4 linked regions of the Sus scrofa genome follow. The protein of the gene in region 1 purifies or fractionates together with the protein of each later gene. This does not show direct contact. Links are inferred from orthologs where the notes say so. Each region holds a gene or a part of one and is shown in the gene's direction. Other genes may lie near its edges.

Evidence for each region.
Region 2: the proteins of TSEN2 (region 1) and CLP1 purify together in Homo sapiens (affinity purification with mass spectrometry; 3 studies listed by BioGRID and IntAct, counting the BioPlex papers as one, with this or other methods). This does not show direct contact. The link is inferred for Sus scrofa from reciprocal best matches to the Homo sapiens genes TSEN2 and CLP1.
Region 3: the proteins of TSEN2 (region 1) and TSEN15 purify together in Homo sapiens (affinity purification with mass spectrometry; 4 studies listed by BioGRID and IntAct, counting the BioPlex papers as one, with this or other methods). This does not show direct contact. The link is inferred for Sus scrofa from reciprocal best matches to the Homo sapiens genes TSEN2 and TSEN15.
Region 4: the proteins of TSEN2 (region 1) and TSEN34 purify together in Homo sapiens (affinity purification with mass spectrometry; 3 studies listed by BioGRID and IntAct, counting the BioPlex papers as one, with this or other methods). This does not show direct contact. The link is inferred for Sus scrofa from reciprocal best matches to the Homo sapiens genes TSEN2 and TSEN34.

Annotation. Positions count from the first base shown.
Region 1 is NC_010455.5:68,513,056-68,519,767, forward strand, and holds part of TSEN2 (tRNA-splicing endonuclease subunit Sen2), read left to right. Parts: intron 1-3,958; coding exon 3,959-3,995; intron 3,996-5,104; coding exon 5,105-5,216; intron 5,217-5,983; coding exon 5,984-6,073; intron 6,074-6,617; coding exon 6,618-6,677; 3' UTR 6,678-6,712.
Region 2 is NC_010444.4:13,281,075-13,288,381, reverse strand, and holds CLP1 (polyribonucleotide 5'-hydroxyl-kinase Clp1), read left to right. Parts: upstream 1-3,173; 5' UTR 3,174-3,320; intron 3,321-3,490; exon of another isoform or gene 3,491-3,560; intron 3,561-4,038; exon of another isoform or gene 4,039-4,058; 5' UTR 4,059-4,080; coding exon 4,081-4,686; intron 4,687-5,089; coding exon 5,090-5,761; 3' UTR 5,762-6,225; downstream 6,226-7,307. UniProt on the Homo sapiens protein: Polynucleotide kinase that can phosphorylate the 5'-hydroxyl groups of double-stranded RNA (dsRNA), single-stranded RNA (ssRNA), double-stranded DNA (dsDNA) and double-stranded DNA:RNA hybrids. dsRNA is phosphorylated more efficiently than dsDNA, and the RNA component of a DNA:RNA hybrid is phosphorylated more efficiently than the DNA component.
Region 3 is NC_010451.4:125,297,621-125,305,041, forward strand, and holds the start of TSEN15 (tRNA-splicing endonuclease subunit Sen15), read left to right. Parts: upstream 1-3,501; 5' UTR 3,502-3,510; coding exon 3,511-3,705; intron 3,706-6,389; exon of another isoform or gene 6,390-6,835; coding exon 6,836-6,917; intron 6,918-7,185; coding exon 7,186-7,321; intron 7,322-7,421. UniProt on the Homo sapiens protein: Non-catalytic subunit of the tRNA-splicing endonuclease complex, a complex responsible for identification and cleavage of the splice sites in pre-tRNA. It cleaves pre-tRNA at the 5' and 3' splice sites to release the intron.
Region 4 is NC_010448.4:55,933,075-55,940,558, reverse strand, and holds the start of TSEN34 (tRNA-splicing endonuclease subunit Sen34), read left to right. Parts: upstream 1-1,606; 5' UTR 1,607-2,005; coding exon 2,006-2,040; intron 2,041-2,354; coding exon 2,355-2,601; intron 2,602-2,848; coding exon 2,849-3,101; intron 3,102-3,217; coding exon 3,218-3,475; intron 3,476-7,484. UniProt on the Homo sapiens protein: Constitutes one of the two catalytic subunit of the tRNA-splicing endonuclease complex, a complex responsible for identification and cleavage of the splice sites in pre-tRNA. It cleaves pre-tRNA at the 5'- and 3'-splice sites to release the intron.

The DNA of each region.
Region 1 (6,712 bases):
CTCTCTTCTAGGCACAGCTAAAATTATTATTTTAGTTTTGAAGGCCAGTGAAGGAAGTTTCTGCTCACAGAGGTAATGACTCCTGACAAAAGGGCCATGATGAATTCCACATCTTATCAGGGAACCTCTTCCCTTGACTAAGTCTTGTCAATCAAATTTCATACCAGGAGCAGTACTTGGAACAGGTGCAGCCACTGGGTCAGTTGGCCAGTTGACCTTGAGTGCCCACTGATGAAAACCAGGCCAGAAACCCCTTGGGAGCCTTTCCTTACAGCTCCCCACCCCCGCCCCCGCCCTTGAGGCTGGTGGCACTCACCTACTTCTGTAGCTGAGGTTTAGAAGGGTCAGGAAAGCTGCTATGGACCCCACAGCTAGTAACTGTGATGACTGGGGCTCTTTGAGTCCCAGCTCTGGATACTTCCCAACACACCTCACTGATGTTGCCAGCCAGAAAGCTAAACACCAACTCTGGGTTTATGTTTTTGCCTTATATATGCAGTTACTGGCTGATTTAACTTGATTTAACCCAAAGTTCTAGTTACTCCTGAGCTTTCTTTCCACCCATTCCACTTTTGGATTTATGCTAAGTCTGATCGCATGATTGCACAGCTCCCTGCAAATTACAAGTTGCAAAACAGGTAGAAGGAGGGGAGGTGCCAGAAGCCAGCAGAGTCATAGCGTCCAGGGCTTTCAGACCATCATTGGCCACAGGTCACGACATCCAGCCCAGAGCTGGTGACTGGCTCCCCGCCCCTGAACCCCACTGCCCACCTGCCCCTCCCCTTCCTCCAGGGAAGGAGGTGGCATCAGCCCTGCTCCTCACAGAGCAGGGAGGGGCACCTCTGTCCCACCCCCATCTTTGGTTCTTTCCAAAGCCATCCTCTTGGCTTATTTTTCTTTTTTCTTTTTTAATTTTTAAATGATTTGATAAGTATTTTTGCATGCAGCTCCTGAGAATATTCTCCTTGTAATTATAGCACCATATGACACCTGTGAGAAGTTAGGAGAATTCATTCATATCATCTAAATATCTAGTCCATATTTCAATGTCCCCACTTGTCCCCACAATGTCTTGTATGGTTGTTTTGGTTTTGATTTATTTTTGTCCGGCTCCATTCAGGTTCATTGATCACATTTAGTGCATTTATCACTCTTATAGTTTCCTAGGGAGGCCAGGAGTGCTTATTACAAACTGGGGTCTAGAGGCCAGAGGTCAGAAGCAAGGATTGGGCAGATCCTGACACACCCTTCCCACCCATACCCCTACCCCATCCTCCCTCTTCCAGCTCCCCGGTGCCAGGTGTTCCTTGGCTGTGGCTGCATCATCCACGCCCTGCAGAGATCCTTTCCCCAAGTAAGGTCACAATCACAGGTTCCAGGTTGGGACGTGGATGTGTTTGGGCGGCCACCATTTCACCACTTCAGTCTGATCTTTTAATGAAAGAGTCCCTCTCCTTTGTGTGTTTCTGTGACATTGACCTCGAAGAATCCTGTGGGGTGTCCCAGTTTGGGGGTTGTGTCCAACTGCTTCCTCATGATCAGACGGAGGCTCACCATTGTTCAGCACCTACAGCAATGTGTGCTTATGGGGCCATAGCCAGGGGTACGTGTCCCATTGTCCTGCTGCTGGTGATGCTGTTTGACCCTTGGGCTGAGGCAGTTGTTGTCAGATGTCTGTCATAAAATTTTGGTTTACCCTTTGTAGTTCACAACTTGTATGTAGAGTGAGGCTGAGCATCTGGTGCCCCAGTAATTAGAGCAGTTGCCTAAACTTACTACTGCGCTGATCACCATTTTCTGGCTCTGTCATTCCTTCAGCACGTCACGTCTGGCGTTTTGTAAGAAAGCACCTTTCCCCTTCACCCTCTTCTTTCAGACTTTATACTTGTTGCTATTCTTTATTGGGTTTTTTGTTTTTGTTTTCCTTTGGCCTTGCCCAGTGCATGCTGAAGTTCCTGGGCCAGGGATCAAACCCATACCACAACAGTGACAACGCCAGATCCTTATCCCACTGAGCGACCAAGAAACTCCAAGCACCCACTACTTCTTAGACTTCTGAAGCTTTTGTCTTTCTACTTGGGGAGGCATTTTTGTAAAACTATTTCATTTTTCTCTCCGAATACGGTGCCATCATTGTAATCACTATTATCCGTAACTTTTTGAGCACCTCTATCTGCATTATTACTCCTGTTTTCCATAAGGCGATCGAAAGCCAGGGCGTCATCATGTGGTCTTGGCACTGCTGAGCCTTGAACTAGGGTCTGACAGATATCCTTGTTCATGCTTTTAGCCCCTGAGCCACCTTTCCATTCGTGGTCAGTTGTCTGAGGGTCCAAATTGGGGGTTGGAGCTGATTTCAGGCTGTGCATGTCCCAGGTGCATATTAGCTGATGGATGTGTAACTGATCATAGATCATGGCTTGTGAGGGATAGAAAAGATATTAATTTCCCCTCATGCATTTTATAATTTTGGAGACTGAGCCACAACTAGGAGTGACAGAGACGAGACCGAAGCAGGGCCTTTGAACTCAGTTTCATCCTGGTATGTGGTCTCATTCCTCTGCACCACAGCCCCAAAAGCTGTTACTCATGTGTTTAATGTGTGCCCTTACACAGTGAATTTGAGCTGACTTGTCAAATACTTTAAGTGCAATTAGAAATCCATTAATAAAAACGAAATGCAGAGCTCCCTAATGGCCCAGCAGGTTAAGGAGCTGCTGTCATTGTCTGTGGTGTGGGTTCAATCCCTGGCCCAAGAATTTTCACATGGCCACGGGCACAACCCCAAAAAAAGAAAATGTGACATGGAAAACATCAGTGAAGGGTTACTCTATCATCCATGACATCCTACCTGGTTACTGACCTCACAGTGCCTGAACCAAAGGGAAGTGTGATGAACTACCAGCTCCTCAAAGGAAACCAAGCTTTTCAGTCTTGGTTTTTGCACAGGGGACAGTCAAGAGTTTACAGGTATAATTGTATATTAGTTAAGATCATTCCTGTAGCTGTAGTTAGATATAAACCCCAAATTTCAAGAGCTTAACACTAGAAGTTAACTTGTGTTCATGTCGAATCCAAAGCCTGTGTCTGAATGGTGGGTGGACCAATTCCCAGAGGGGCTGCAGGAGCCTGGCTTCTTCCCATGGCCCCACAGTCTTCACACAGCTCCAGAAAGGGACAGGCAAGGGCTTGGTGCCAGGCAAGGTTTAAGGCCAGCTTGGAGGTGCCCGCAGCATGCTGGCTGCCTGGGAGGCGGGGATGGCATCTTCCACATGCCCAGAAAGAGGGGAGACCAGTTTGGTGGTAGGTCCCCAATTCCTGCTGCAGGCTCTGTGCCCCTCCCCTCCATAGGGTCCCCTGCACATCCACACCCACAGAAGACCCCAGCCAGGCTCCTCACCAGGCAGCTGCTCTTCCTCCACAGGCTGAATGAGACAGGCAGACGGATCTTTGAGTGGCTTATGTGCTTATGTGATATTTCCCCCCATTTGACATTGAATTTTTTTAAAGTAGGCATGTGTCACTCATCTCTAGCACCAATACCCTTCAGTACCAGCTGGAGGAGCTGAGACACTGAATCACATCAATTTGAAAGATTTGAAATGAATCAGTGTTGGCCCATGTTATACCAGCTTCACATACTTGACACGATTTCAGGCTCTCACTCTGGAGAGTGTAGACAAGAGAGGATTAAAACACTTGTATTTTGGGATTCATTTGTGGAGTGAGGGTGGAACGAGGGTATTAGGGTCTCCGCAACAGATTTGCTCTGTTAATTGCTTTTTGTTCTGTGGCAGGGGGCAGTCTGGGTTATAAAAACACCACCAGGCATATTATAAATTACCCACATCCTGAGCACTGGATGTTTGTGTCCCTTTGGAGAAGAAAACACTTTATAAATAATAAAAGAAGAATTTGATTTCAAATGATTATGCGTTTTTTTTTTTTTTCTTTGCAGTGTTGTACCGAAAAGGCCCTCCATTTTACCATGCAAGGTTTGGAATTTTTTTTTTGGTGGTGGGGTGGGGGGCTTTTTAGGGCCACACCCATGACATATGGAAGTTCCCAGGCCAGGGATCTAATCAGAGCTGTAGCTGCTGGCCTATGCCACAGCCACAGCAACACCAGATCCAAGCCCTGTCTGCGACCCACACCACAACTCAGGGCAACGCCAGATCATTAACCCACTGAGCAAGGCCAGGGATCAAACCTGAGTCCTCATGGATACTAATTGGATTTGTTACTGCTGAACCATGATGGGTACTCCTGGAGTGGTTTTTAAATAAGTTAATGGCTTAAAGGGACAGGAGGAAATTTCTGAGCTCCAATTTAATTCTCAGAAGCACACAATTAGAGTCAGGTTCCTCCTGGCCTGGTAGGAATAGATACTCTGTCTGTGCCTTAGATGTTAATATTGTTTTGCTATCTACAAGATAATAAATAGATTATGATGATGTATGTTTCAGTATTAAACATTGAGTTAATCTGTTTAGTTATTACTATATAGTAATTGTTTATCTTAATATCAGTGAGCACTAGTATCTAAACAGTTGTGTGAATTCACAGCTTTCATGTTGAGGGAAATATTTCTGTTCCTTTCCTGTAAGTGTTGCAATCAGGCTGACAGTTTGTAATGTCAAGTGTGAGTTTTAGATTAATATTTTTCTCAGTAATAGTTTAGGAATTTAGGATCAGATGATGTATGTTTTATTTTCTGTATTTTCATTCTTGGTAGGACAGACAATGTTCTTTCTTTTTAAATGGTTTGACTTCATGCTTTTTATTTTTATTTATTTTATTTATTTATTTATTTATTTATTTATTGTCTTTTTAGTGCCACACCCACGGCACATGGAGGATCCCAGGCTCAGGGTCTAATCGGAGCTGTAGCTGCCAAGCTACACCAGAGACACAGCAACGCCAGGTCCAAGCCGCGTCTGCGACCTATACCACAGCTCACGGCAGTGCCGGATCCTTAACCCACTGAGCGAGGCCAGGAATTGAACCCGCAACCTCATGGTTCCTAGAAGGATTTGTTTCCTCTGCACCACAACGGGAACTCCCATGCTTTTTATTTTTAAAATGCCCTCTACTTGTTTTCCAGTTACTCTGTCATCATCGAGTTGGTTGACGACTGTTTTGAGGGCACTCTTCGAAGACCTTTCAGCTGGAGGTCCCTGGCTGCCTTGAGCAGAGTTTCAGTCAGCGTCTCCAAGGTAGCGCAGCATCAGCCTAGGTGTTCACATGTTGCTTAATGGGTTGGATTTTTGTGTCCCAAGTGTGCTGGAAGCTGAAAAGTCATCCAGCTGCCAGGGAGGCCCCGGAAGTAGGTCTTCCTCACCGCTTGGTGAGGAGTCAGAGGCATAGATGCTGAGTGACCAACCCAAGATCACACAGCTCATGTGTGGAGCTGGGGTTCATACCCAGAGCCTTGTGACCTTCTGGCTTGTGTTCTGTGTTCCACTGCCATCAAAATAGGAAAGAAATTTCACCTTATTCCAGGACTGTGAAGAATGAAAGTCTGTGTTTGTTGTTGCTCATTAATTCCTCAAATTCTCTGTCCCCCTGTGTGATGGCCAGTGAAATAGGAAGGGCCAGTGGGCACCAGATGCCAGCTCCCTGCTGACAGGTTAAGTTGCTTAGGCTTTAGCCTATAAAAGTAGTTTTGTTCTAGAGAAATGTCCCTGGGATTTTTATGCCCATATTATAGGAGTTGTTGCTTGTATTTACTATTTGTAATGCTGTGTTAATAATCTGTCTATGTGCTCTACTTGCATTCTCTTGCCATGTCAATGATGACTAAATGACAGGTCTTTAGTCTGCAATGTGGGCCCAGTTATGTTCCCAGGAGGAAACAGGCATGCTCTGAGTTTCCCAGAGCACATGGCTCGGAGGGATGAAGATGGCCTCCATTTCCTGCACACTCACCCCATTTTTATTTCTGTTTTTTGGGATACAGAGGTTGTTTTTCATGTCTCAATAGGAACTTATGCTGTGCTATGTGATTAAACCCTCCACCATGACTGACAGAGAAATGGAGTCGCCAGAATGCATGAAACAAATTAAAGTTCAGGTAGGTGAACTCAGAGACAAATTCATGTCATCCCAAAGCTCTTTCCATCACGTGTCCTCTGAAACACGTGGTCCCGAGACAAGACAGGAAACCGTCTGGCCGTGGCGAGAGCCCTCTCAGGCCCTTTCCCGATGCGCCCGGCCTCCCTCCCCCTAATTCCTGCCACTCCTTGTCCTGCAGTGTCCTCTGGTTTTTGTCCCCACCCACCACTCTGCTGAAACCACTCTCCCAGCCAGCTTGGACCTAGTTCTGAGTTAAACACTGGCTTGGCACTGGCGTTCTCTTCCTGAAATGCGCTACCAGAAAACTACAGCTGCAGCAGGAGTGGCTTTTCACATCTTTAGGGGGTAACTGTGGCCAGTGTTCCCACATAAGGTTTGCTGGTCCACATTTCTCCAGATGTTTGGTGACAGGAACGGGAGCAGGTGTCATCCTTGTGCAGACAGACAGTATTTTGTGAGTGTTAAGGGGAAGCCTTATGCCTGCACATTCCTTCGTTGCTAGTTTTGAAGTTCAGCTGCCTTTTTATTTTGATTGGTTACAGGAGGTGATTCTAAGCCGTTGGGTTTCTTCACGAGAGAGGGGCGACCAAGACGAACTTTAACAACTCAGCCTCAGGTGTCTGATTTCACGAGCAAA
Region 2 (7,307 bases), on another chromosome or scaffold:
CTTATGAAGAGCTTAACATTTTTCAGTGTTATTTTTCTGACGGTTTCCAGTGATACTTCATTTAACCCAGAATATTGCTCATGAAGTGTTGCCCTGGGTATGTGGCTAAAGAATGTGGCCATTTTATCCCTCGAAAATAAAAACCCTGATTTCTAACCAAGGCTAACGTTCAGAAAATGAAGCACTTTTCACAAGGGAGAAGGTGGGGGGGATGTTAAGAAAGGAAAATGAGGTTGATGGGAGGCAGTGCTAGCTGGGTATGAAAAAGTGAAGGGAATTCTGAATATTTACTCTGGGAAGATTCTGGGATTTAACGTAAATTCTGAAAACACAATGTGGGTATCTTGAATGATGTTCCCAGAGGTTTGGGATTGAGAACTGAATAAAGAAAGAAGAGAGAAATGTTCTTGTCTGAGCAACGGACGGGAAGGGAAATGTAAGCGGACGGAGTTCCCGTCGTGGCTCAGTGGTTAGCGAATCCAACTAGGAACCGTGAGGTTGCAGGTTCGATTCCTGGCCTCGCTCAGTGGGTTAAGGATCTAGCGTTGCCGTGAGCTGTGGTGTAAGTCACAGATGAGGCTTGGATCTGGCATTGCTGTGGCTGTGATATAGGCCGGCAGCTGTGGCTCCGATTAGACCCCTAGCCTGGGAACTTCCATATGCCTTGGATGTGGCCCTGGAAAAGACAAAAAAAAGGGGGGGGGAATGTAAGTGGAGGAGGAATTCGTCGAGGAAAATAGTGGGAAGTGGGAAAAAGAAAGTGAGTAGTTGTTGAGAGCAAGGATCGAAAGTTTAGAAGCAAAAAAGATAACAGGTGATTTAACTCAGGAAGAAAATAAGGGTTAAGCTGGAAAGGAGAATAAAAAAGACATGTGAGGACAGTATTTATTTGGGGATGGGGCAGAGATGACTGGGGTGCTTAGTGAAAGATTGAAAGTGAGGAAAGAGAGTGCAGGGGAAACATAGATGGTTTAAATGTTGTGCCCCGACTATTTCTGTGTTTAAGAGGCAAAACAGAGAGTGGTCTAAAGGAGGGGAGGGGTTTCTTCTCCCTAAATTCAGCTTGAGATGGCTACCCAATATCCAAATAAAGATGACCTTCAGAAAACTGGGAGAAACAGTCTCAAGGCAGAGCGTGGAGGCAAAGAAACAGATCTTAGGAGAAAGACTGCAGGAAACAGGAGAGGGTGAGCTGACTCGGAGGGAAATTTGCAAATGGAAGACCAGAACGGAACTGCTGAAGAATCAATGAAAGATGAGGAAATACCTAATAGTTAATTGGAGAACTAATAACATGCATGGAGAATGAATTAAACAATTAAAGCAAACCCTCAAAGAAAGAACTGTGAGAAGTGAAGGTGTCACTCTTGAAAGTGAATGCTGGAGTTTCCTGGTGGTGCAGTGGGTTAAGGATTTGGTGTTGTCACTGCCACAGTTGGGGTCTCTACTGGGGCGAGGGTCGAATTCCTGGCCTCAGAACTTCTGCATGCCTGAGGTGGGGCCAAAAAAAAAAAAAAAAAAAAGTGAATGCTAAGGTAGGGCCAGTGGGAAACAAGGCAATCCAGAAAATCTCCCCAGGCTTTTCCACCCAGATTAACCAGGTAAACTGGACTAAAAAAAGTATGCATCTGTAAGCAGAGCTGACAATCACAGTGTGTTTGTACCTCACAGGATTCTTTGAGGATTAAATTTACCCCTGTAAAGCCCACAGAACACTATGTGACATCTAGCACTGTGCGTTCACTATTATTATAAGTGGACTCAAACTCCAAAGTCTTGGGTTTGAGAACTAGCTTGGGCAAGTCCCTTCATCTATCTTAGTCTCCTCCCTCACCTGAAATTGAGTAGAGCTGACTTGACAGGTGGCTGTGAAAGAGGATAGCTGAAAGGGTTTTGTGAAATGTAAACTACAAATGGATGGCATCTTTGTAGCTCCCCCTCCTCAACCTCTAATAAAAACTTAAGAGCTAAGGAATTCCCCTCCTGATGCAGAGGAAATGAATCCGACTAAGAATCGTGAGGTCGTAGGTTCGATCCCTGGTCTTGCCTAGTGGGTTAAGGATGCAGCGCAGCCGTGAGCTGTGGTGTAGGTGGCAGACGCAGCTTGGATCTGGCGTTGCTGTGGCTGTGGTATAGGCCAGCAGCTGTAGCTCTGATTAGACCCCTAGCCTGGGAACCTCCATATGCCACTGGTACGGCCCTAAAAGGACAAAAAGATAAATAAAACAATTTTGGCTGGGTATTGTTTTTATCCATATTTTACAATTAAGAAACTAGGTGTTAGAAAGTTTAAGCCCGTGATTTGCCCAAAGTCCCACAGTAAGCAAGCGGCATAGCAAAGAATACAAGATTCCAAGTCCAAGCTCATCAGAAGAGTACAGACATTGCCCAACCTGTTGTTTGTTGGATAAATGACTGACCTTGTATAACTGCCAGGGATTTAGGGAGGGAAACAGAGTTCCCAACAAAACACCTTGATCAATAAGAGGAGTGGGTATTTTCTTGTAATGCAGCAGGTTAAGGATCTGGCATTGTCACTGCAGCGGCTTTGGTCACTGCTGTGCCGCGGATTTGATTCCTGGCCCAGAAATTTCCACACACCACGGGTGGGGCCAAAAATAAATGAGAGGTTGTTGGGAAATGACTGACTTACAGAGTAAGTGGAAGAATTCTTGCACTTTTATTCAAAAAACATTTTTTTAATGACCCCTAGGGGCCAAGCACTGTATCAGTTAATTGGTGACGGTTCAGGTCCGGGTTGGTCTCTGTTTATGCTGTTTTCCTCCACTTTCTCTACCCCTAGGTTTTCTCGTATCCAAATGGAGTTTCCCTAATTTCCCCGCTTCCAGGCGACCATGGGACCTAAATAATGTCCCCTTCCCTCCGTCTTTCCCCTTCCCGGAGGGCAGTTGAGCGGAGAACAGCGGTGAGCATCCGCATCCTCTGCGCTTTGGTGTCCATTGACCCTTCCGCCAGTCCCCGCCCCGCGCGGGGGCGTAACCGCCACTCCACCCCCTTCCCTCCCGTGGAAACGCGAACTTCGGCGGCCGCCGCCCCGCCCACCGCTGACATCACGATCAAAACAATCCTTTAACTACAAGTCCCAGAAGGCCCAGCGACTGCGCCAGGTGGTCGCTCGCAGCGGTTCTGGCACGACTACATGTCCCAGGGAGCACCGCGCGTCCACATCTCCTCTACTGCGCAAGTAAGGAAACGCCCAAGTTTCCGGCGTGGATCTAGGCGAGCGCGGTTAGCAGTTGGTCTGAGTTTCTGCCTAGGAGGGCTTTTTGATTTACAAGGTTGGGTTCGTGCCTGTACAGGTAAGGTAATAAGCTTAGGAACGCACCGTCGCCTCCTTGGAGCGTGGACAGGTTTCACTGTCTAGGGAGGCTAGGACAAACGCTGGATTTAGAGCTGCGGTCTGGGATCAGAGATAATTCTTCGCTTTTCCTCGGCGTTTTCTAGTTCACGAACTTTTTTTCTCCTCCAGCAATCCCTGTTAATCCCCAGAACTTTGTGTGTGGAAGGGGAAGTGCCTCCAGTTGACAACTGAGGAAGAGGTGATTGATTTCTCTAAAGACACTACCTAGTAGTTGCTGAGCAGGGCCTTAATTCTGTTTTCTAAGTCGGAAACCGGAAACCGATATTCTCTGCTTTACATCGAATTACTAACGCCTTTCTTGTTGACTAAGAGGCTTAGGGAGTGGCCATCTGTTGCCTTTTCAACTCTGGAATATCCCAGTTGAGTGGTGAAGGGGGCGATGAAGGCGATGAAATCAAGTCTGTCAATCTGTAGAGACTGCTTTCTTTTTATTTCTGAGTCATTTATTCCCTCGGTGTATTTATAGAGGTGCCTTTGGGTTGTCTAGCCCCATCCTAGGTACTAGAGTTCCAACCCTTACATTCTTGTGAGGGTAGACAGACAATAAACAAATATATAGTGAAGCGGATGGTGATCAGAGATAAGGAGAAAAATAAAGCAGGGTAAAGAGAAACTGCCAGTGAAGGATTTTGAACTGAGTCCTAACTTATGTTTAGATCTGACATTTGTGTTCTAGGCACAACAACTACGCAGAAAAGATGGGAGAGGAGGCCAATGATGACAAGAAGCCAACAACTAAATTTGAACTCGAGCGAGAAACAGAACTTCGCTTTGAGGTGGAGGCATCTCAGTCAGTTCAGCTGGAGCTGCTGGCTGGCATGGCAGAAATCTTTGGCACAGAGCTGACCCGAAACAAGAAATTCACCTTTGATGCTGGTGCCAAGGTGGCTGTTTTCACTTGGCATGGCTGTTCGCTACAGCTCAGTGGTCGCACCGAGGTGGCTTATGTCTCCAAAGACACCCCTATGTTGCTTTATCTCAACACTCACACTGCCTTGGAGCAGATGCGGAGGCAGGCAGAGAAGGAAGAAGAGCGAGGTCCCCGGGTGATGGTAGTGGGCCCCACTGATGTGGGCAAGTCCACAGTGTGCCGTCTACTGCTCAACTATGCAGTGCGCTTGGGCCGCCGTCCCACTTACGTGGAGCTGGATGTAGGCCAGGGCTCTGTGTCCATCCCTGGTACCATGGGGGCCCTCTACATTGAACGGCCAGCAGATGTTGAAGAGGGATTCTCCATCCAGGCTCCTTTGGTGTATCATTTTGGTTCCACCACTCCTGGAACCAACATCAAGCTTTATAATAAGGTCAGAGCCAGGGCCAAGGTGGGGTGGAGGGAAGGGCTGCTGTCAGGGTTGAAAACTGTGCAGAAGTTTGCTAATTAAAACTCTTTGCTCCCTCTCGGCTGGTATATTGCTCCATGATTTTAGGAAAGACAATTTGAAAATAAGTCCATCTCAAACTGTTAAACGTTTCTGCGGACCCATTCTTAAGTAATTTATTAAATTTCCATTTCGGACATGAAACAGAGGAGACAGAAGAAGCAACGCAAAATAAAAATTAAATCCATGTTACGGGGTCAAAACCACAGCCATGAAAAATGTCATTTTTCTTATACCTGATACCACTTGTTCTAAAGAAAGATAAAATAGCCTTGGGTTTGTTTCTTTTGGTGTTTTTTTTTCCTCACTTTGCTTCTTTCTTTTGCAGATTACATCTCGCTTAGCAGATGTGTTCAACCAAAGATGTGAAGTGAACAGAAGGGCCTCTGTGAGTGGCTGTGTCATTAACACCTGTGGCTGGGTCAAGGGCTCTGGTTACCAGGCCCTGGTGCATGCGGCCTCAGCTTTTGAGGTGGATGTCGTTGTGGTCCTGGATCAAGAACGACTGTACAATGAGCTGAAACGAGACCTGCCTCACTTCGTACGCACTGTGCTGCTCCCTAAATCAGGGGGTGTGGTTGAGCGCTCCAAGGACTTCCGGCGGGAATGTAGGGATGAACGAATCCGTGAGTATTTCTACGGATTCCGGGGCTGTTTCTATCCCCACGCCTTTAACGTCAAATTTTCAGATGTGAAAATCTACAAAGTCGGGGCACCCACCATCCCAGACTCCTGTTTGCCCTTGGGCATGTCTCAGGAGGACAATCAGCTCAAGCTGGTCCCTGTCACTCCTGGCCGAGATATGGTGCACCACCTCCTGAGTGTTAGCACTGCCGAGGGCACAGAGGAGAACCTTTCTGAGACCAGTGTGGCTGGCTTCATTGTGGTGACCAGTGTGGACCTGGAGCATCAAGTGTTTACTGTGCTCTCCCCAGCCCCCCGCCCCCTGCCTAAGAACTTCCTTCTCATCATGGATATCCGGTTCATGGATCTTAAGTAGAGATCAGCAGGAAGCTTTGCTGCTTGGGGGCGTAGAGATCTCCTGGCCATCACAAAGGCAGATGGGTGAAGTGTGGGAATCTCTTGAGACCAGGCTGACCAGTAAGTCATGGACTAGCAGAAAGCATATATTCTACCTCTTAAAACAGGTGATAATAACCTAACCCTTTTGATCTTGAACCAAAAGGAAAACTGTAAGAATATAATTGGTTTCTTAGATTACCTAAGGTGTCACTTTGAATTCTTTGAGTTCCAGAAAAATCCCATTTCATTCACTGTGCTACTATGTGGACTAATTCTGAGGAGGGATTTTTTTTTTTTAATATTACTGCTTTATATTCTGTATATAGTACTTGTTATCTCGTTTATGCAGGGTGAAAGAGTGAATTTGAAGGACTCCTTCCAATAAAGTTCATATTTGGGAAAAAAAACTATTTTAATAAATATTTTTGCCATATCACAGAAGTTGGTATAAGTTGTTTTTTTTAATTTTGTTCTTTTCCTCATTGTGGAAACATTATTGGGGTAACTTATTGTTGAATGTCTAGAGAAAAGGAAAGCAAAGAGTTCACCTGTGAGCTTAGCGAGTGGCTTGGGTCACTGCTGTGGTTTGGGTTCAATCCCTGGCCTGGGAAACTTCCACATGCCTCTGCCAAGGCCAAAAAAAGAAACACAAAAAAATGTAAATTGAGTTTTCAGGGGATAAGCTAGGAAAGCCTGTTCTTTTTGATCTCTTGCAAATGATTAGTGTTCCTAGTTTGGACTTGTATTATTAAGTATCTGATGCTCTTCATTCATTCTTTCCACAAATTTTCATCATACACCTACCATGTAACATGGGCCATTCTAGATGGGGGGAACAAGATAGACAACGTCTTACGGAGCTTACATTAGAGAATAAATATTAAAAGATGAGTGCTGGAGTTCCTGTTGTGGCACAGCGGAAATGAATCCGACTAGGAACCATGAGGTTGCAGGTTCGACCTCTGGCTTCGCTAAGTGCGCTAAGGATCTGGCGTCGCCCTGAGACACGTGAGACGCAGACTCGCTCGGATCTGGCCTGGCTGTGGCTGTGGTGTAGGCTGGCAGCTGCAGCTCCGATTAGACCCCTAGCCTGGGAACCTCCATGTGCCACCGGTGCAGCCCTCAAAAGACAAAAAAAAAAAAAACCCAAAAATAAAAAATAGCAGAAGAGTGTTATACAGAGAGACTTAAGGTTGGCTGATATGAGACAGAGTGGCTGGGGGCTACTTTAGATTGACTGGTTGAGAAAGGCCTCTTCTGAGTGCACTTTTTGAGTTAAGACCTGAATGGCTGTCTGAAATTGGGGCAAAGAAAGTCTTCCAGGTGGAGGAAACAGTGCAAAACCCTAAGAAAGGAAAAAGCTGGCGTTCCCATCGTGGCTCTGCAGAAATGAGTCTGATTAGTATCCATGAGGACGCAGGTTCAATCCCTGGCCTAGCTCAGTGGGTTAAGGATCCAGCATTGCTGTGGCTGTGGTGTAAGCCAGTGGCTACAGCTCTGATCCAGTGCCTAGCCTGGGAGCC
Region 3 (7,421 bases), on another chromosome or scaffold:
CTCAAACTGAATTAATATGTCCCTGCCCAGAATTTTTCTGCAGGAATAAAAAGGTCTGGCTCGGGTATCAAGATGGGAAATCAGCAGAACAAGTGCCAGATGACCATGCATTTGATTTCACGCAGTTTACTCAGGGGAATTTTATTTGTTATTACTTATCTAGCTTTATTTTTTACTAACCTCTTTGGTTCTCTGCTGCAGTGAACCACTGAAGCATGTGTAAAAAGAGAAATTCTTCAGTCTCTCTGAAGCTGAAACTCTAACCTCTTCTTGGTGGACTTCGCGATAGATTGACCCAAGAGCCATTCTGACTACACTTTGTAAGCACTATGCCGTTTAAGTGTTCTCAGATCTTTTCTTTCTTAGCCACTCTCAATCACCAAGAATTATTCCCAAGTTTCCATTGCTTAATGTGGAAGCCAAGATAGAGTCTATCTTCGTTCTTCTACTCTTTGTAGTAGACAATGACATTAAAAGTCAGAGACGTTTCATATTCATGCTTAAATATTAACATGCTTTTTCTAAGCAATGGAACGTTATTTGTCAAAGGATAGCATTAGCCTTTGCTTTTTTCAGTTTATGGTTCTTTCTGCATACTTTTGGGATTCCCTAATACCCCTCTCCCTTTTTTCTTTTTCTTAAGCTTCAACTGAAAACCTTCCCCTAAAGATTTCTGAGCCTTGTTCACATCATACCCAATTCCATTGGATCTCCTTACTGATTTATAAAATGTCCCCTTTCCTCATATCAGGAACAGAATGCTCTTAAATGCTTCTATAAATACCATCATCTGAACGGATTGGGATCTGTAGAGGTGAGAGAGAAAGATTTACTCACCTCAAATTACCTGAATTAGTGTCAGTGTTCAGTGATTGAAGGAGTATACTAATTTCAGTGTCATTTGCCTCTTTAGAGCTTAGCAACCGCTTCATAGAGGCAAAGGTTAATGACTACATTCAAATGCAATACAATCCAGGGCAACTTACGAATCCCATGTGTGGTTTTAGATGACATAATAGGATGCACTTCTTCCTGTATGTAATGCAATGCTTTTTTCTTTCCTTACTCTCTCTCTTTTTTTTTTTTTTTTTAATGCATTCAAGCTATGTATCTGGCTTTTAACAGTTTAACTTCAGCATGGATTTCATTGTGTTTATTTTACTTAGTATTCATTTGGCATTTTGTACTTGCAAATTTCTGTCTTATATCAAATTTAGGGAATTTTTTTTTTTCCTCAGTGTTTTCTCTGCCCCATTCTCTTTCTTTTCTTTTTCTGGTGTTTCATTTACAAGTGTGTTGGATTGTTTGATATCATGTAGCAGGTCTCTGAGGCTCTGTTTATTTTTTTTTAATTCATTTTTCTCTTTGTTGTTTACCTTGGATGATTTCTTGGACAATTGCTCTACCTTCAAATTCACTTAATTTTTATTCAGTAATTTCTATTCGGCCGTGAAATCCATCCAGTGGATTTTTTATTTACGAACTTGTAAATTTTTTTCTCTTCTGCAGGCCTCACCTGTAGCATATTGAAGTTCCTGGGCTAGGGGTCTAATCAGGGCTACAGCTCAGGACTACAGCACAGCCACAGTAAGGCAGGATCAGAGGGGCATCTGCAACCTATGTCACAGCTTGTGGTAATACCAGATCCTTAACCCACCGAGTGAGGCCAGGGCTTGAATCCGCATCCTCGTAGAGACTATGTTGGGTTCTTAACCGGCTGAGCCACAGTGGGAACTCCTGATATTTTAATTTTCAGTTCCATTTGATTCTTTTTTCTGCTGAGATTTTTTAGTCTCCTGAGAGTTTCATTCACTTAAAAATGCTTTGTTTTACTTCATTGAGGATAAGCTGTAATAGCTACTTTAAAATCCTTGTCAGTTTCAACATCTGATTCATCTCAGAGTCAGACTAGACAGTGTGATACTTTTCCTTGATTTCCATATGTCTGTAGTTTTGAATCGTATCTTGGACTTTATGAATGCTAAATTGTCAAGGTTCTAGACTCTATAGTTTTTCTATGAAAGTTACTTCCTTTGCATTAGCAGGTAATTTTCCTGGCTAAATTTGACCTATAAACTCTTTCTTGGAGGCCAACTCTAGCCTTAGTTCAGATTTTTTGTTTTAAACAGTGATTCTGTTTCAGGTGGTTTAGGATCTGTCAGAGATGTGTGCAGAGTTAGGGGATCCTCTCTCAGGCTCCTGCCCCTTTGGAGATTTCCTAGTCTCCTCAGCATTCAAAGGTTCCTGGCTTCACTTTTTGGATTCTCTAGGTAAGAAAAACTAAGAGTTTTCCCACACGCGCCCCTTCTGCCTTGGAGTCTGTCTCATGGACTGCTCTTAGCTCCAAGCTCAATGCAGAAGAAAGGGGAACTTACTTGTGTGGTTCCTTATCTGCCCTTCTCTGAGCAACCTGCCCTGGCCACCAGGCTTGGTCTGCTTCTGTTAGCATTCCAGGATATTCTGGAAGTTGCTTTTTGTATTATGCCCTCCCCGCTAGGAAGCTACCGGGCTAGGGGTAGAATAAGAGCTGCATCTGCCGGCCTACACCACAGCTCACTGCAACACCGGATCCTTAACCCACTGAGCGAGGCCAGGGATCGAACTGCATCCTCATGGATACTAATCAGGTTTGTTACCAATGAGCTACAATGAGAACGCCTATGCCCAATTTTATAGATGTCTTCTGCTGAGGGATAGTCCAGTAGGGTCTTAGTCTGTCATATTTGGAAGCAGAATTTCCATCCCTGCCTGGCACTTTGTCTCCTGAGAGTCATTTCTTGCCTTGGTTAATCCAACAGCCTCCTAAACCACTCCCTGCTTATACCCTTGCTCCTTAAGGACTCTTCTTCACATTTCAGGCAGAGGGATACTACAGAAACAGAAACTTGCAGGGTCTCCCCATTTCCTGACAGTAAATCCACAAAGTTTAAAATGTCCTGTTCTGCCTGTCTGAAACTCCTCCTCAGCCTTGGCTTCCACGTCACATGCTTAGGCTGGTTTGCATCCTACTTTTCTGACCACTCCTGTTTAGATTCAACAACTCGTGTTTACTCTTGCTCCTCTAATCCTGAAAGGTGGGTCCACCCTAAAAATATGGTTCTTGGCAGTCTGGTCTTTCTCCCTTTTATTTTCTTTTAGAGATCTCATCCACTTCCACACTTTAAGCTTACATGTCAGGGCTCCGAATGAGGCCTTCCTGTTCCCAGGAACTGGAGATCTGGACTCACTGCAGAAGGCGAAGAGACCCTATCCCTGGCTTTCTCAAAAGAGCGCACACAGCGCTGACGGAAGGTAAGTTAAAGGTTTCCGGCCTCGGGGTATTCTTCAACCTTCTTTCGGCCAGCATTTGCCCAGATTTGACTAAGCACCGCGCGAAAGGGGAGCAGGGAGAGTGCGTCCGCGCCGGTTCTAGCTGCGTGTTTCTGAAGATGGGACTGACCGCTTCTCCCGCCCGGCAGCATCTGCGCCCTCCTGCGCCGACGCAGCGCACGACGGGAAAGCGGAACCCAGATGCGCGCGTCCCTGCTTCCAGCCGGGCGCGGAGAGCCGAGCGCGGTGCACACGCGCGCCGCACGGCCGGGCATGGAGGAGCGCCGCGAGTCCCAGCCCACCGCCGGCTCTAGCGCTATGGGCCCGGGAGGCGAACGCGGCGGCGGCGCCCCCTCTTGGGCCCCGGAGGACGCCTGGATGGGCACGCACCCTAAGGTCAGGAGGCGCGAGAGAGCAGGGCACGGGTCCAGGCCCCTACCCCAGAGGGAACCCCCGGGCCGCGCTCCCCTCGGGGCTCTTCACTCCCTGGGGGGTGGGATCGCTGAGTTTCCACCCGAACCTCGCGGAAGGGGACCCTTTACGCTGCCCGCTGCAGGCGGTATTGTTTTCGTTTGTTTAAAAGCGTTGAATTGTTGTTCTGACCGCCCCCCCCCCCCAGGCTGGAGGGACAAAACTTTAAAATCCATCCTCCTCGCCGTCCACCACTAACATCTGAGTTGTGCTCTCTAGGGCTCTGGGCTCTTTCTCGGGCTGGTCTCATTTACTCCTCACAGTAAGCAAACTAAACAGTTTGTGGGCCATGGAAAAGATGTGGGAGTCTACAGTGTTTAAGGTTTAGGCACAGTCCTCGTTTGCTTCTGCTTGGCATATAGTTGCCTTTTACAGCAATGAATGGAAGTGATCGAAGACAAGGGTTTTGTAGGAATGTAGACGCTAGATACTTCGGTCTCGTAACTTTAGTAGGATTGCAGTCTTCTGCTAGAGAGCAGTATTTCATAGATAATCATCTAAAAACAGTGAAGAAGAGGAAAATCTTGAAGGTCTAGGTCTGAAAAAAATTAATCCCTTTTCTTTCCTTTTTTTTTTTTTTTTTTTTTTTGTCTTTTTGCCTTTTCTAGGGCCTCTCCCACGGCATATGGAGGTTCCCAGGCCAGGGGTCGACTGAAGCTGTAGCCACCGGCCTACGCCAGAGCCACAGCAACACCAGAGCCACAGCAACACCAGATCCTTAACCCACTGAGCGAGGCCAGGGATCGAACCTGCAACCTCATGGTTCCTAGTCAGACTCGTTAACCACTGAGCCTCGACGGGAACTCCCGAATTAATCCCTTTTCATCTTCTCTTGATTTTATCCTCCTATTCTGATCCTCTTATTTCCCCCTCAAGGTGAGAAAAACATTAACATGGAGATGTTTTTCGGTGCCAGAAAAAGAACCACAACACGGAGAGGGAGCGTGAACTCAGAGTCACTGAGTTTGAATCCTGGGTTCTGTCACCAGCTTTGTGACTTTTTTTTTCTTTTTTTTTTTTTTTGCTTTTTAAGACTGCACCTGTGGCATATGGTGGTTCCCAGGCTAGGGCTCTAATCGGAGCTGTAGCTGCCGGCCTGTGCCACAGCCACTTCAGATCCGTGCAGCGTCTGCAACCTATACCACAGCTCAGGGCAACACCAGTTCCCTAACCCACTGAGCGAGGCCAGGGACTGAAGCCTTGTTCTTATGGATAGTAGTCGGGATCGTTAACTGCTGAGCCACGAAGGGAACTTCCAGGTTTATGACTTTTTTTTGCTAGTTGTTTTATCTTGTTCCTCAGTTTTCTCATCTGTAAAATGGGCATAGGAACAGTACTAATCTTATGAAGTGGTTATGGGATTAAATAAATTAATAAACACTTGACATATAGTGAACACTACATAAGTATTTATAAGTGAAACATCAGTAGCAAGTTTTAAAAACCTCATCTAGATTTGATGGTATTGTTTAGTTTTCATACTTGGGGATTTTTTTTCTCTTTAAAGTTAATATCTATAGGTTCTAGCTGTTAAGTCTTTTCTCTTGGTTTTTCTTGAAGGACCTAATTGATTACAAAAAAGGGAAGAAAAGATATTGGATGTCTGCTTTTTCAGTTCTGCATTTGTATTATTCAGTTTGAAAATTAATTGGGTCCAACCAGTAACATAGTATTAGTTTTATCATCCTCAAACACTTTTTTGATTATTCCTATACTTAAAGAATTTCCTCATGGATAAAATTCAAACTTTTAGCTTGGCTACTTGGTCCCTAATTGCCTTTACAGTGTCATTTTGAAACACATTTGAGGTTTCAGGAGGACGTTTAATAACGCCCCTCTTTCCTGTTCCCAACACACTTAGGAGCACACTGATGGGAAGGCATGGCCTCAGAGCTGCACCTAGGCAGGTCTGTTGATGCCTCACCTCTGCATTAGCCCTGCTTCCTCACCTGGTCAACGGACACAGCTGGAATACCTGAGGCTTCTCCTGCAGGGCCGGGCCCCTGAAGAATGTTTGCCCCCTGCTAACCAACAAGACTGAAATCAGCACAGCTTGCTTGGTCCTTTCTTTAAAATCCAACAATTATATAACTCCGCACTCTTGAGTGAGCAGGGGTGGGGAGAGAGACCTAGAAGACTTCCTCCACAGGTTAAGAAGAGACCAGGGAAAATAGAGGCTCCCACTAACGTGTTCCAGTAAAAGTCCTTTTAAAAACTGTCTCTTCTCGCACAGCAGGTCATCGCAGTGGCTAGGGTCACTGTTTTGGCCTGGGTTTGATCCTTGGCTCAGGAATTTCCACATGCCACGGGTGTAGCCAAAAAAAAAAGTTTCTACTCCTTACAGATAGGTTTCTTTGTAGGCCTTTAGATATGTGATGCTTATTCCCGCCTTCACGTGGTTGCTCACACTTTTATTCTACGTTCTCTATTTACGCAAATCATATATTACATCCTTCAGGGCCCAATTTGCATCCCACTTCTGCCAGGAAGCATGCACCAACCAAGCCATCTAATTGGAGCTCCTTAGACCTATTGTGTCTTTTTTTTTTAATCCCACTCACTCAGTTGGTTTCTTTTTCTTTTTTCTTTTCTTTTTTTTCACTTCACAGGGCCACACCTGTGTCGCAGGGAAGTTCCTAAGCTAGGGGTCAAATTGGACCTATAGCTGCTGGCCTGCACAACAGCTACAGCACCTTGGGATCTGATTTGAATCTTCGACCTACACTACAGCTCATGGCAACACTGGCTCCTTAACCCACTGATCCGGTCCAGGGATGGAACCTGGATCCTCATGGATACTAGTCAGATTCATTACCACCGAGCCCCAATGGGCTCAGTTTTTAATCACTTACTGTCTTGTACTGTTATTTGCAATTGTGTGTATGTTTACCCTAACAAAAGTTTTTTAGAGACAGAAATCAGGGCTTAATTGCCTTGTAACTCCCAGGATACCTGTAAGAGTCTCGTACATTATATATTTAATGAATAATTTTTGATTGAAAGAAAATATTTAGATTCTTCCTTCTCTATTTGACAATTATATTTTGATTTTCAGTATTTAGAAATGATGGAATTAGATATAGGAGATGCCACCCAAGTTTATATAGCATTCTTGGTTTACCTGGACCTCATGGAGAGTAAGTTATTTGTTTTATTATTGTTTTGTTATTGGGGCTGTGGTGGGGGAGATGGGGGCTTGGGTTGGGATGTAGTTTTTATGCATTTGCTGTTAACTTTGTCAGTGTTGTGATTTCTTTATCATTTTAATTGGGAACTCCTGGGAAAGAAAATACTAAAGAAAAGATGGCATTATAAGTGATGTTTGCTCAGCTGATATTAGGTGTTTAAAATTTTTATCTTTTATTTTTGATAAACATGATTGTCCATTTAATGATGCACTTTCAGGTAAAAGTTGGCATGAAGTGAACTGTGTGGGATTACCAGATCTCCAGCTCATCTGCCTTCTCGGTACTGAGATAGAAGGAGAAGGGGTACAGACTGTGGTGCCTACACCCATCAATGCATCCCTCAGCCATAACAGGTAGGCAGGTGATTTTGATCTTTGTTTAAGAGGTTAGTTCCTTTTCTGAATAAAGCACTAGGAATCGTTAAATTAGAGGTTGTCATATATTTTCAGAGGA
Region 4 (7,484 bases), on another chromosome or scaffold:
TAGAGGATCACGGAGTCCTATCCTCAGCTCCTCTTCCCTGAGAACACAGGAATCCCGACCTCCAGGTCCTTCCTCCCAGGATAAAGGAAGCCACTCCCAGAAGTTCTCTTTTGAGAACCCGGGGTCCCAGTCCTCTTCTCCTTTGAGAACCCACAAATTCAAATCTTCCATTCCTCTCCAGCTTCGAGGATCCAGGAACAGAGTCCCTCTCTTATTCCCCCTCCCCCAGTGAGAACCCAGCTCTCCAGACCTCCAGCCCTTCCTTCTTCGAGGCAGGCCTCCAGCCTCCACCTCTTTCGGAGGTTGGGTTCCTTCTCTCATCTAAAGCCCCGAGAGCGCGCCCCGCTCCCTAGCCCCAACCCCGCGCCGGCTGCGTGCACCAAGCGCGTGTCAGATGGGCCCAGGCAAAGCCACAGGCGGTTACGCCACTCCAGAGCTCCTCCGCGCTCCAGGCACCGCCCCCGCAGCCCATCGACCCACCGATCCGCAGCGAACCCACGCACTGTCCAGACCCCTCCCGGTCTCCGGGGCGCCTCTACACCCCAGCTCACCTGGGCCCGCGACTCCACGCCGCCAGCAGGGGAGGAGGCGGCCAAGCAGTCCCAGCGCGCGGGCCCGGCGGGGCCAGCCACGCCTACCCCGCCCAGCACGCCTCCGCTACCCCCGCCTCTTTGGGGGCCGGTTCGGCTGCGCCGTGTCGGGCCGGGTGCGCAGCGCCGGGTAGGTTCCCGGCTGCGCAGAGAAGAAGCCTGGACTAAGAGCAGGCAGCAGGAGTCAGCTGCTGGACCAGGACTCTTGGTCAAGAGTCACTGGCACGCAAAAGGGCGGGGTTTCGGGCTCGGAAAGGGGAGGGGCCAGAAGCTTCCGCCTCTTAGGGACGCGACCAGACGTGAGAAGGAGGGCGGAGCCTGGAGCTCAGCGCTCGGAATGAGGCGGGGCCTCCACTTCAGGTTCCTCGGAGCAGAGATGGGAGGCGGCTTGGAGGCGGGGCCACAAGCCGAAAGTCTCTGTCCGGATGTGGGCGGGGCCAAAAGCTTCGCCGGATGTAGGCGGAGCCACCGCGTCGGTTTCCTTCGGAGGTAGTCGTGTGCAAGTGACAGTCCCACCCCAATCGGGTTGCTGATAGGCAAAGTCTCCTGTGTAGGAGGGAGGCCGAGCCACGGACTTGGCCAACAGGAAAGAGGCAGGGCTCAGAAGAACTCTGAGGGGGTGGAGCAAACAGCGCCCCTCGGTCTAAAGGGGGCGGGGCCTCGGGCAAAGGGGGCGGGGCCAGCGCACGGAGCCTCCCATTTCTAAGTCGCGGAACAGAATCGGTGGAGGGAGGTGGGCTTCGAGGGGCTGGCCGGAGGTGAGGCTCCGCTTTAGGGCAAGACGGGGCTACGGCCCTGTGGGGCGGGTCCCAGACTTCCCGCTCCGCTGAGGTGGCGGCGTGACGAAATCGACGCAGGGGGTCGACATGGGGGGTGGAGGAAGCAGCGCGTGGCGCGCGACGTAGGGGGTGGCACCGCCGGGACAGCGAGCTGGTGTTTACGAGGTGACTAGCTGGTTTTATCAGAGGACGGGGCCACATTCTGAAGGGAGCGCTCGCCAGTGGGGTGAGCCCGCCCGAGCGGAGAACGAACAGCATGTGCTCAGGGGACTGGGCCGCCGGCTGTGGGGTTCGATCGCGCGGCGGGAACTCCCTAAACTAGGGGAGCGCTGGCGGCCAGAGGGGGCCGGGCCTCAGGCTGTGGGATTGACGGGAGCCGAAGACACTCGAACGCAGTACCCCTTGGGTTCGGAGGGGCGGGGCTGCAGGTTCGGCTGAGCCGAGGACGGCCGAACACTCGGGCAGGGGCGGGGCTTCGTATTTGGAGAGCGCGACTCAGCGGGAAGAACCCGAGGCCGAACCTCGGGAGTTGGTTCGGAAAGAGGAGGGGCCAGGTCCCGAGCCACCGGAGGAGGGCGGGGCTTTGGCCTCCGAGGTCCCGGCACCTGACGGGAACACCCGAAGGGCGCTGCCGAGATGAACCTTTCGAAGAGGGCGTGGTCTGCGCTAGGGCAGGTTTTCCGTCGAGGCGCGGAGGCCGGGACAGCAGTACTAGCCCAGACCCGAGGGCTGACCGCTGGGTCCCTCGGACCCGGCGGCTCGGTCACGCCCGGGGCCTGGCGGGCTCGCCCGGGGTGGAGCCTGGTGCCCAGGGGGCGGGGCCCGCTCCGCAGGTGGCGAACGCGGCCCGAGCGAGGCTCCACCCCCTGAAACTCGAGGGAGGGGCTTTGTCCAGACCCACCACCCCCTCCCCGGGAGGTGGGAGCGCTGGGTGTCGAGAGCTTGCAGCTCTTGGCGTGACTACTGTGCCCCTGGCCTCCCGCAGGAGGATGCTGGTGGTGGAGGTGGCGAATGGCCGCTCCCTGGTGTGGGGGGCCGAGGCCGTGCAGGCGCTACGCGAACGCCTAGGAGTAGGGGGCCGCACGGTGGGCGCCCTGCCCCGCGGGCCCCGCCAAAACTCGCGCCTGGGCCTCCCGCTGCTGCTGATGCCTGAAGAGGCGCGGCTCCTGGCTGAGATCGGCGCAGTGACCCTGGTCAGCGCCCCGCGCCCGGATCCCCGCCAACACAGCCTGGTAAGGAGGCAGGCTGGGAGCGCGAACTCCCTGGGACCTGAGGAAGAAGCGGCTGGAGACTCGGACCACGAGTCCTTGAGCTGGGAGGGGTCTGGGAGTCCTGGATTCTGGAATACCGTGAGCCTATGACACCAGGTTCCCCGGGTTCCTGCCCTGAGGTTGACAGGGGCCAGGGAGTCAGGATTCCTAGCTACCAAAGGGAGAGCCTGCCTGGATCCCTGAGTTTATAGCTAAGTTTACTTCTCAGGCTTTGGCATCCTTCAAGCGCCAGCAAGAGCAGGGCTTCCAGGAGCAAAGTGCTCTGGCAGCTGAGGCCCGTGAGACTCGTCGTCAGGAGCTCCTAGAGAAGATTGCAGAGGGCCAGGCTGCGAAGAAGCAGAAGCTGGAACAGGAATCAGGGACCAGTGGAGGCCAGGATGCCCCTGGGCACCCAGCTGCTGAAGAGAATGAGGAGGCCAGTGCTAGCCAGACTGCTGGAGAACAGGAGGAAGCAGGTGAAGGTGGGAGTTGGCGTCCAGGGACCAGGGGGAGGAGGGAATTGGGGTTAGAGTCTGGGGCTGGGTCTCCCAGGGGCTCTTGGATTCACTGAACTCTCTTGGATTCACCCCCCCACCAGGCTCTTCCTCTCCCCAGCCGGGGCCTTCAAATGAGGTCACCCCTTTGCCCAGGTCTGCCCTGCTCGTCCAGCTGGCCACTGCTAGACCTCGGCCCATCAAGGCTAGGCCCCTGGACTGGCGTGTCCAGTCCAAAGACTGGCCCCATGCTGGCCGTCCTGCCCACGAGCTTCGCTACAGCATCTACAGAGACCTGTGGGAGCGGGGCTTCTTCCTCAGTGCTGCTGGCAAGTTTGGGGGAGACTTCCTGGTGTATCCTGGTGAGTTTGTGTTGGGCCCTCTGGTTGCTACTCTGTTCTTCACGAATCCCACTATGTTCTGCATTTTCCCTTTATTTGGTCTTATTTTCTCAGCGTCTGAAACTAGGGAAGGACAGGAAACACTTGGGAACCCAAGCTCATTCGGCGGGCGGTTTAGTACATGAGCAAAGGTGGGGGGACAAAGAATGGCTTGGAGAAATCATGGGTAGTAAGAAGTAAACCATATTTTATACTGTCAAACAGTTATACGCGCTATTTAAGTAGCCTTAAAAATTGTGGCTCTTAAAAAAAAAAATGTGGCTCTTGGAGTTCTTTTGTGGTGCAACAGATTAAGGATCCAGCAGTGTCACTCGCATTCTGCATGCTGAGGGTGTGGCCAAAAAAACCCCATGGCTTGGAGTTCCCGTTGTGGCGCAGTGGTTAAGGAATCCAATGAGGAACCATGAGGTTGCAGGTTCGGTCCCTGCCCTTGCTCAGTGGGTTAACGATCCGGCGTTGCCGTGAGCTGTGGTGTAGGTTGCAGACGCAGCTCAGATCCTACGTTGCTGTGGCTGTGGCGTAGGCTGGTGGCTACGGCTCCAATTAGACCCCTAGCCTGGGAACCTCCATATGCCGCGGGAGTGGCCCGAGAAATAGCAAAAAGACAAAAAAAAAAAAAAAAAGCCCCGTGGCTCTAGTAAGTCAACTATACTTCAATCAAATTTTTTTTTGTCGTTGTTCTTTTGTCTTTTTGAGGGCCGCACCCACGGCACATGGAGGGTCCCAGGCTAGGGGTCTAATGGGAGTTGTAGCCGCCGGCCTACACCAGAGCCACAGCAACGCAGGATCTGAGCCAAGTCTGCTACCTACACCACAGCTTGTGGCAACATTGGATCCTTAACCCACTGAGCGATGCCAGGGATCGAACCTGCAACCTCATGGTTCCTAGTCAGATTCATTTCTGCTGTGCCACGAAGGGAACTCCTACTTCAATAAAATTTTTGAGATTCAAAAAAAAAAAAAAAAAGGAGTTCCCAATGAAGTGCAATGGAATAGGAGGTGTCTCTGCAACACCAGAATGCAGGTTTGATCCCCAGCCCAGCACAGTGGATTAAAGAACCTGTGGTGTAGATTGCAACTGTGCCTCAGATGTGATCCCTAGCCTGGGAAGTCCGTATGCTGCAGGACTGCCAAAAAAAGAAAAAATAAATAAATAAATAAATTTTTTGGGAGTTCCCGTCGTGGCGCAGTGGTTAACGAATCCGACTAGGAACCATGAGGTTGCGGGTTCGGTCCCTGCCCTTGCTCAGTGGGTTAAGGATCCGGCGTTGCCGTGAGCTGTGGTGTAGGTTGCAGACGCGGCTTGGATCCCGCGTTGCTGTGGCTCTGGCGTAGGCCGGGGACTACAGCTCCGATTCGACCCCTAGCCTGGGAACCTCCATATGCCGCGGGAGCGGCCCAAAGAAATAGCAAAAAGACAAAAAAAAAAAAAAAAAAAAAAAAAATTTTTTTGAAAGAAAAAATATTGAGGCTCTAGTGAAAGAATATGAGAAAAACTTAAAGTGGAGTACTAAGTAGCTTGAGAGACTCCCATCAAGCAAATGGAAGACCACATGCGAGGTTTTACTGGAGCCCAGTGACAGTAATTAAGAGTTCTGGGAGGGAATTTGCATCAGGAATAGGTAAAGGAGACTTTTGATGAGTCAGTTAATGGTTAAATAGTAAGACTGCCTTGATTGTGTAACTAAAAGGTTAAAAAAAAAAAAAGTACAGGAGTTCCCCGGTGGCACAGCAGGTTAAGGATCCAGCATTGTCACTGCTGTGGCTCAGATTCCATCCCTGGCCCAGGAACTTCCAAATGCTGTAGGCACGGCTGAAAAAAAGAAAAAAGTACAGAATAATCACCCTTTTTGTTCCCCCTAAGAGCACAGAAACGGAACTGCCTGATAAATAATCAGATCTTAGCCATTCATTGGAGACTATCCATTAATTTTTCTGCAGGTGAGCTGAGAGCCTTGGTCTCTGCTCAGACTAAAATTTAACTGACTGACTTAGGAGGTGACAACATTCTACCCCACCGCATTCTCCATAGATAACCATGGTTTAATTACTTTGCTACTGGGTTGTCTTTTGTGTGTGTCTCTGACTCTTGCATGTAAAAATGATTATTTTGGTTTTCAAAGGGAATATTCAACTTCCTAAACATACAGATGCTAATATCTAGTTCTTTTCTAAACTTTCACCTTAATTTACAAAACTGAAGTTTTTCCAACCTAGCAGATTGTAAGGGAACCATTCATTCATATTTGATCCCATGTACAAGAGGAGTTAAGTAATTTCAAACATTCTAAGTTGCATTTAAAAATTTAATGTAGGGGAGTTCCCCTTGTGGCTCAGCAGAAACGAATCCAGTTAGTATCCATGAGGATACCAGTTCAATCCCTGGCCCTGCTCAGTGCGTTAAGGATCTGGCGTTGCCGTGAGCTATGGTGAGGTTTGTAGACACAGCTTGGATCTCGTGTTGCTGTGGCTGTGGTGCAGGCCAGCACCTGTAACTCCAGTTCATCCCCTATCCTGGAAACTTCCATATGCCATGGGTGCAGCCCTAAAGAGACAAAATAATAATAATAATAATAAAAACAAAAAAATTTAATGTAGGAGTTGCCTTTGTGGTTCAGTGGAAACCAACCTGACTAGTATCTGTGAGGATTCAGGTCTGATCCCTTGTCTCACTCAATGGGTTAAGAATCTTGCTTCAGCTCCAACTCAACCCTTAGCTGGGAACTTCCATATGCCATAGGTGTGGCCCAAAAAAACAGAACAAAACAAAACAAATTAATGTATTTTCCCCTTTTTTTTTGGCTGAGCCTGTGGCATGTGGAAGTTCCTGGTCCTGGGCCAGCAGTCCGAGCTGCTGCAGTGACAATGCCGGATCCTTAACCTGCTGTGCCTCAAAGGAACTCCTATTTTCCTTTCTAAGTTCTGCAGTTTTCTGGTTATGGATCTTGCTAATATTAAATCAATAAGTTATAAGTGAGGTGATCTTAAAATTTATATTGTTGGAGTTCCCACAGTGGCGCCAAGGTATCGGCAGCGTCTTAGGAGAGCTGGGATGCAGGTTCAATTCTGGTCCCAACAGAGTAGGTTAAGGATCCAGCCTTGCCACAGCTGCAGCTTGGGTGGCAACTATGGTTTGAATCTTATCCCTGGCCCGAGTCCCTGGCCCGAGAACTCCATATGTCTCGGGGTGGCCAAAAAATAAAAAAATAAAATAAAGTTTATATTCTTACACTGTTAATAGACTTACTAAATCTTCAGATTAAGGCAAATTTAAATCACTCAGTTGCACATTAGAAACAAACACAAGGCTGACCTGTTGGTTCTAATCGGTCAACATTTCAAAACAAGAAATACTCAGTGTCTCATGGGAGTTCCCGTCGGTTAACGAATCCGACTAGGAACCATGAGGTTGCGGGTTCAATCCCTGGCCTTGCTCAGTGGGTTAAGGATCCGGTGTTGCCGTGAGCTGTGGTGTAAGTTACAGACGCAGCTCGGATCCTGCGCTGCTGTGTCTCTGGCGTAGGCTGGTAGCTGCAGCTCCGATTGGACCCCTAGCCTGGGAACCTCCATATGCCGTGGGAGCGGCCCTAGAAAAGGCAAAAGGACAAAAAAAAAAAAAAAAAAAAGAAAGAAATACTCAATGTATCAGATAGACACAGAATCTCTGTCCCCTGAAGATGAATATTCAGGGACTGAGTCTCTTAAATATATGTTTCTAACTCTAATTATAAATTTTCCTGAGGTTAAAAGATGCTAAGTTTCTTTTTTTTTCTTTTTTCTTTTTTTTGTCTTTTTGTCTTTGTAGGGCCATACCTGCAGCCTGTGGAAGTTCCCAGGCCAGGGACTGAACCTGCACCACAGAGGTGACAGTGTTAGATCTTTAACCCACTGATCCACAGGGAGCCCCTGTTTTGTTTTTTAGATGTCACACATAAATGAAATCATACAGTATTTGTCTTTCTAACTTATT